Mus musculus: one gene and its partner. Each later gene encodes a partner of the first gene's protein in a complex. Links are inferred from orthologs where the notes say so. Each region holds a gene or a part of one and is shown in the gene's direction. Other genes may lie near its edges.

Region 1 (4,367 bases):
CTGACTCCTGGCAGTACACCAGTGACAGCCAGGTACCCAAAGAAGAAACCACAAATCACAGCATCTGGCCCAGACTTCCACTGTTTCCCCTTCCGGCCTGGTGAAGGAAGATACAAGCTGTGGATCTTCATTTCGGATTTTGCCCTGCGTTCTTCCGGTGCCCCACCCCCACTTGCAGTACAACAGTCCGATTGGTTCAAAAGCCAAAATATGCAAAACTACGTACGTTAATAAGCACTACCCTCCTCTTATGCCTTAACCCACACACCATTACAGTTATATAGGTAGTATCATCAGTTTCTTATGAATCGTAGAGTCTGTCCTCAATCTAGCTTTCTCCTTCTAGTTTACTAAAGGGCTATCTGTCTAGAGCAGACTTCATACACGGATATTATCTGACTAATTAACAGTTGCTGAGGATCCTGATGTCTTCATATATATATATATGGACTTCTGGATCATATAGTAATTCTATGTTTAAATTTCATGTCTGTTGGTAAAATACTGGAGATTGAACGAGTTGGTTGTTGGTCTTTTGTTTATTTGAGACAAAAATAAAATAAAATAAATAAGATAAAATCTTGCTCATAGCTCTGACTAGTCTGGAACTCACTATGTAGGTCTACTGGCCCTGTCCTTATAACAAACCTGCTTTTACTTCCCAAGTGCTGGGATTAAAGGAATACACAGATGAAGTCAGAGCACCTGTGGCCCAACCTCTGAACACTGCTGCACAGAGGACACCAAACTTTTGGAGGACATTTCAGATTCGAACCATGACACATTTCCATAGCAGCTGTGCCATTTTACACCACCCACCCCAATGTTCCACCAGGCTTCTATGAAACCACTGATTATATAAGTATTTTCCTGATTAGAGTACACGTTCATGATAGATCATTTAGAAAACTCAAAAAAGCAAAATGACGAAATTCTCTTTATTCTAATTACGGAGCCATGACCTGAATTCATATTACTCCCGGGAGAAAAGGAAAAGCCGGTTTTTTTCTCAGGCAATTCTGTCATTGTGTTTGATAGCATGGTCCAATAATAGTGCTGGCGCCTGCCCTGCCTGGACCTTGTCCTCAGATTCCTCCGTCCTGGCTGTCCCCACGACCCTATCTTCTGAAAAGGTCATGCAGTTAACCAGGCTTCTGAATCATATTTGCTGGTTGCTTTCAGGAGTGTCACGGGTGCTGTGTGGAGCTGTCACATTCTTGGGCATCTGTTTCCGTATTTTTAAAGCCACCTCAACGTTTGATAGAAAAGCATAAAACTTTTGAGGAAGTGAGCTCTACAAACCCACCACCCACGTAAGAACTGAGCCGTCCTGCCCAGAGGGCATCTGAAAAAGAGATCAACAGGAAAAGGGTGGGGAAATCCTGCCTTCCTTCCCGTCTTCAAGTACCCATTGGCTTCAGACCTTTATTCTCATTGGTTTATCTGGATGTCGCTCCACGCTGGCTTTCCAGAACCAGCCACTGAGAGTCACAAAGTTGGGATTTAAAAGATGCGGTGGGAGGGGCGGGTGATTTTTTGAACTGCTGGCGACCGAGTTCTGGCGGTCCTGACGCGCACCTTGGGCTTGCTCGCGTTCGGTTTCGGCAGCAGGACCAAGAAGGCTTAGGGAAGGCGGCGGGACCCGGCCCCTCGAGGCCAGCCATGGGCCCGCGTCGCAAACCGCAGACCCCAAGGAGGAGACCCTCCAGCCCGGCGCCTGGACCCTCGCGACAGAGCTCCAGTGTAGGTAAGCGAGCCTGCCCTGCACCTCCGAGGCCGGTGCGGTCATCCTGTGGGGCCGGGCCTGTAGAGGGACGGTTCCTGGTCACGGCTTGCCGCTAACCTCGCGTAGGGGTAATGGTTTTTTTGTTTATTTGTTTGTTTGTTTGCTTGTTTGTTCCTGACCGGTTTACAGCAGGGAGAAAAACGAAATGCAGACAAGACAAGGAGTTGGAGCAAAGACAAACTCATTCTGACGGACACGGGGTCTTTTTTTGCATTTATTTACTTTGCATGTATTTTGCATTTATTTTGTGTTCGTGCTCTGGCGACGGCCAGAAGAGAGCGTCGGAACCCCGGGGCCGGAGTTACAGTTGTGAGCTGCCCTTTTTTTTAGAGTGCTAGGAAGAGAACTCGGCCCCCCTGGAAGAGCAGCCTGGGCTATTAACAGCTGAACCAGCTTTCTAACTCCTACTCTTTATTATTTATTTGCAGCACTAGAGATGGAACCCAGGACTCCGTGTATGTTAGGCAAGGGTTCTACTACAGAACTATATCCCCAACCCTCTCCCCGACCCTTTTTTTTTTAAGACGGGAACTCGGTATGTATCGGTGTGTAGCCTTGGCTTGCTGACCTGAAACGTGCTATGTAGACTAGGCTAGCCTAGAGCTCACAGATCTCTGCCTGTGTTGGGGATGGTTGTATGCAGTGTGTATTCAGGAACTATTTCTGAGATCTGGTTACAATCCAGACACTGCCTCAATGTGATGTAAAAACTGTTTTCCATCACCTCTGATTGGTTAATGAGCTGATCAACCAATTGGCTGGGCAGAAGAAAGAAGAGTGGGACTTCTGTTCCCAATCAGAGGGTCCTGAAGAGACCAGGTGAGAAGAAGAGATGGAGAGACCATGTGGGTGAAGAAGGATTACTCATGAGGTCTGGATAAGAGAGCAGCCATGAGGACCCACATGGACCAGAGAGAGCCAGGGCAAGATCAGATGGCAAATAATGGGTCATATAGCCTGGTAACAGCAGCCTAGCCGGGTTAGAATATCTCAGAACCGCCGGGCGCGGTGGCGCACGCCTTTAATCCCAGCACTCGGGAGGCAGAGGCAGGCGGATTTCTGAGTTCGAGGCCAGCCTGGTCTACAAAGTGAGTTCCAGGACAGCCAGAGCTATACAGAGAAACCCTGCCTCAAAAAAAAAAAAAAAGAATATCTCAGAACCTACCTAGCTTAATGCCAGCAGCTTGTTAATAAAAAGGGGGGTAAGGAAGGACTTAGAATTAGATTTACATGCCTGCTTCTGCTTCTCTGGTGCTTGGATTAAAGGCATGCACCACCACATTCTATTTCTCATTGAGGTATGGTGAGCCCCTAAGGGAATAATGTGGTCATGGTTGTACCGCTCGACCAGAGCTGATGTTCGATGTGGACTTCCAGTGTAGAAGCAACCTTCCATTACTCTTATCTTAGGGAAAAGTTTTACATCAGCTGCGCCCACTTCTTGGCTCTCCTACTGCCCTTGTCTGCTGACCTTGTTCTTCCAGCCATTTGGTGCTTTTTATTCCCCCCTCCTTCCTCTCCATTCAGCCTCAGGCCTTGCTAGGTGCCCCCTCCTTTCCCAAGTCAACCAACCCTTCTTTTATGTGGGCCCTTAGACATATCTCCCTTTTGTGCTGTAAGGGACTTTGTGTTGTTCTTGCTACATAACAGCTCACGGCCATCTGTAACTCCATTTCCAGGGGATCCTTCTGGCCTCTGCAGGTACTGCACACACACAGACATGCACATAGGCAAAACAGATACACATACACATAGAATAAAATAAAACCATTTTAGGTGTGTGACAGTGACATCCATGTGTCCCAGGCTAACCCTGAGCTCAGGACACCCTGTCTCTGTATTCCAGGTGTTGGAACTGTAGGTGAGGGCCTGTGGGCCTGACTGGAGAGAGCTTTAGTGTGTAAGTCCTGCTTGAAATTCTCGGGCTCCCACCTGCTAACGTTGACCTTTGAGACCCAGCCTCAGGGTGTTTGAATGCAGTTCTTTCCAGGTCATCTCTGATCACTTCCGTTTCATAAACACCTGTTTGTGTATCATGAGTCTTGGAGTTCTCTTCCTCTTCTATTTCTCAAAATCTTTCTTTTCTGGGAGAGAATAAGTTCTCTCCATGTAGCCCAGTGGAGGTTCCTACCTCTGCCTCTCAGCGATGGATCGCACACGGCACGGCATTCAGTTCTCTCGCTATTCAAACTCCTTGAGTATAGTTTATTTTGATTCTTGGTTTTGGCTCCTTTTCCTTCTGGTGTTAGTCACATTCTTTGGTGGTCTCTAGTTGTGTTGCCTTCATTTTCTGTGAGTGTGTACCTGTTAACATCACCCTCTAGCCCCCAAAAGCCCAGATCTCGAAAATGGTGGGGTGGGGAGGAGGCAGCCATTTGTAGTTTATCTTTTAGTTATGGCCCATCATAGCTAGCTTCAGTTGACAGCCTGATACAAACCCAGGAAGGAGGAACTTCAACTGAGCAATTACTTCTATCAAACTGGCTGGCCTGTGGCCATGTCTGTTAAGCATTTTTTTTTAATTGCTTATCTTTGTCAGAGGGCCAAGTCCACTGTAGCCCACCACCTCCTATCTGGATTT
Region 2 (3,649 bases), about 55 Mb from region 1:
TATTTTAAGTAAATACATTTTGGTTATAATTCTACAGCTATGAATTTCAAGGTTTTAGTATATATATTTAATGAAGGGCATTAAAGTAGATACCCAGCTTTAAATTCCTATGATCTTATTATTATAAAATGGAGGGAATATTAAAGAAAATTGAGGGGTAATGTGAACTGCTTTTTTTAAACAGATAGAGATGTTATTCCCTGTATAAAATGTTTATTCAGTAAACAAAGATGAAGCTTCCGTCTCTCTAAAGTGTTGCAGTAATGTTTTGTTTTAGTTCTGTGGTCAGGCACACAGCAGCAGTTCCATTTTCTCCGCCTCCTCCAAGTGACATGAAATTATTAGAAGATGAATTTATTATTGATCGGTCAGATAGAAGTTTTTCAAGTCGACTTTGGGTGATGATACCAAGCAAAGACAGGCATCTGAGCGCCCACAAGCCATCTCCTGAAAACACTGCACTGCTTCAAGGTAAGAAGTCAAGAGAGAAATCTCATAGTTTATCTGCAATGACGTTTGCAAGAAACACACAGTCTGATAAGGCTCACCCAATAGAGGAAGCTCAGCTCTCTGTTGAAGAAAACCCGGCAACTACTTGTACAGATGAGTTGGAAAATGATTGTCGATCTCCTGAAAATAAAATGCAATCTGAGACTGCCAAAACCCCACCCGCATGGGAAAGGACTACGAAACAGAGCCAGAGGAGAGTGTCTAAGCCTAAAGCAGCTGAAGAGCTCAGGAAGGGACAGAGTAGCTGGGAAAATAGCAATGTGTCAAACACTGGCCAAGACAAGCTACAGATCAACTCGAAAAGAAATATGAAGGACTGTGAAGAGGTGAGGAATGAGCCTAATCCCAAGAAACAGAAGCCAGCTCTTGGTAAGTGAACATGTCAGCTCGGCTCGGAGTGTGAATACTCTTGCATCATTTTATAATTGTTAATATTTCTCCTGTCTTTGGGAGGTGAGCAACAGAAAGCTTCTCTAAAGGTTGACCCACCTTTGGGGTTATTCTTGGGAACCTCTCTAGGTATAGTTCAGGACAGAGTCACTTGATTTTTTTTTTTTTTTTTTTTTTTTTAATTTAACATTCCTAAGGCGGAAACATACATGGAGAAGTGAAAGACTAAACAAGTTAATGATATGTTTTCCCCTGCTACTTGGTCATTTTTATGGGGTATGCAGATTGACATAGCTATATGGATGTGTATAGGATGAAAGTAGAGGAACAGAAAATACATCTCTACCCAATATTGCCATATGAGCTTTATAGCTTCATAAATACTTTTGAATATCGACTGGTTAATGAATATATTGTTCTGATATCTTACTATACTGATTGTGATTTTTCATTGTTACAAATTGCCACAAACTTAGTAGATTAAACAACACATTTAATATTTTTAAAATCTTTTTTTTAAAATAAATACATAGCTTTATTTACTTATTTTATGTATATGAGTACACTGTTGCTGTCTTCAGACACACTAGAAGAGGGCATGGGATTCCATTACAGATGGTTGTGAGCCACCATGTGGTTGCTGGGAATTGAACTCAGGACTTCTGGAAGAGCAGTCAGTGCTCCTAATGGCTGAGCCGTCTCTCCAGCACTTGTAAAAAAAATCTTACGGAGTTCTTTAGGTCAAAAATTTCATGGTACTGAGACAACTGAAGGATCTTTGTGTAGCTCTGTTCCTTCTAGTGTGTTTGTGAAAGGGTTAGCTCCTTGCTTTTTCCATCCTATCTACTTACCCATAATCCTAGACTTGCTCCTTCTCCATCATCAAAGCTAGTAATGGCTAGTTTCTTCTGTCACTAATTTTTTGCTTCTCTGCTATCATCTCAATTCCTGTGCAATCACAAGTTTTAAGGATACATGGATTGAGCCAGTAAGGTTAATCCAGAGTAACATCATTTCAAGGTTTATAATTTAGTCATAGTCAGTATCTTCTTCCAAAATAAGGTTTCAAAATAATTAAAATGAGAGGCAGTAACTTCCTGTCTTGGTTTTGAGTAGTGGTAAGTACAAAGAGACAATGTTTTGTCTTTCAAAAGGCAGTCAGCTTAAGGAGCTAGACAGCTTAGTGCTTGCCTTCCGAGCAGAATGACCTGAGTTTGATCGCCAAGCCCCAAGTCAAACAATTATAGCTGTTGTGGTTTCATGCATTTGTAATACCAGTGCTAGAGAGGCAAGGATAGGCCGATCCCTGGGGCTTGATGGTCAGCCAGCATAGCCTTAATGCTGAGTTACAGGCAGTAGCTCTCTCAATAAAATGTAAATGAATACATAAATGAGAAGAGGTGACATTTAGGGTTGTCTGCTGGTTTGCACACGTGTATACCTGTCCGCATGTCCCTGAATGCACAGGTACACACATTCCTCTTTTAGTTTATGACAAGCAGTGAGCAATGTTTACATTTAATTGACAGAAAATCACATCTTATTGAAAACATGCTCTCTTTTAAAAAAACAGTGGTGGAAATAAAATAGCTCATTGCATAATGTAAAATGTTTTTGTAATTGAGTTTTATTTAACTAAAATCTTTTGTGAACTTCTGAAAACATATTCTGAATATTTTTTGTGGTTTTTCTTTAAATTAGAAAATAAGAAAAAAACCAATAGCACCCAAACCAATAAGGAAAAATCTGGAAAGAAATTTTTTTCTGGTGGGTCCAAGAACAAATTTGTTCCCAAAAAAGTAACTTTGACTTCCAGGAGAAGTTGTAGAATTTCTCAGCGTCCATCTGAGTGGTGGAGGGTAAAATCAGATGAAAGTAAGTATATTTATTTAAATTATCTTTATTGAAGGGTCCCTACAGTCATTCTCTATGATGTTATGTGTGAATTATTCTCATTACATAGAAAACTTTTATGAAGATAAAGTTAAATGGATTCACTATTGTCAACTGAAGTATAAAGTTCTCCAGTGCTCTGTATGTAGACATGTGCTGTGGACAAAGTCAAAAGTCCTTGTGCTCATGGAGATGAAGGGTAAAGTCGAGAAAGACAGGAGGGGTGAATAGGTAGACTTGAGTACTATTTTGGTACAATGTTAGCACCTACAAAGAAAGATGATAAACTGAGAAACTTGGAATTATGGGAAACAGATCTTAAGGATTATGTCTTTTCTCTTGCTGTGATAAAATACTCTGATAAGTGCAACTTATGAGAAAAAGGATTTCTTTTGGCCTTCTAGAAGGTAAGACATGGTCTGAGGAGGCTAGCCCCTGAGATTGTATCCAAGTCAGGATCCAAAGAAGAATGCATGTACTTTCTCCACTCTGTATCATCCAGGATCTAAGATGGTAGCCAAGGAATGGTGCCACCCGCTTGCCCTGGGTGGGTCTGCTCGCCTTAGCTAACATTAACACAACTAAGCTAGCGTAGGCATGCCTAGACCCATCTCCTAGCATATTAGGTCCATTATAGATGGTCAGGCAATTAATGTGCAAAGTGAGAGAAAAGATTATTTAAGGAAGTTTATAATGGGATTAAAAAAATCTAGTACATGTCCTGCAAATGCAATTGAAAACAAAAGAATTTAAAAAAATGATGTGGAAAAAATTTAACTTATTAAATTGGTATGTATATTTTTATGTAAATGTAATGGTGTCAGTATTCAGTGAGCCAGATCATTTGAACAAACAT

What was found. The genes of interacting proteins can lie anywhere in the genome.
Region 2: Cenpa (region 1) and Cenpc1 share a complex: the UniProt entries of both Homo sapiens proteins name them as parts of the CENPA-NAC complex. The link is inferred for Mus musculus from reciprocal best matches to the Homo sapiens genes CENPA and CENPC.

Annotation. Positions count from the first base shown.
Region 1 is NC_000071.6:30,665,367-30,669,733, forward strand, and holds the start of Cenpa (histone H3-like centromeric protein A), read left to right. Parts: upstream 1-1,519; 5' UTR 1,520-1,662; coding exon 1,663-1,747; intron 1,748-3,632; exon of another isoform or gene 3,633-3,686; intron 3,687-4,325; exon of another isoform or gene 4,326-4,367. UniProt on the Homo sapiens protein: Histone H3-like nucleosomal protein that is specifically found in centromeric nucleosomes. Replaces conventional H3 in the nucleosome core of centromeric chromatin that serves as an assembly site for the inner kinetochore.
Region 2 is NC_000071.6:86,034,542-86,038,190, reverse strand, and holds part of Cenpc1 (centromere protein C), read left to right. Parts: intron 1-277; coding exon 278-879; intron 880-2,601; coding exon 2,602-2,775; intron 2,776-3,649. UniProt on the Homo sapiens protein: Component of the CENPA-NAC (nucleosome-associated) complex, a complex that plays a central role in assembly of kinetochore proteins, mitotic progression and chromosome segregation.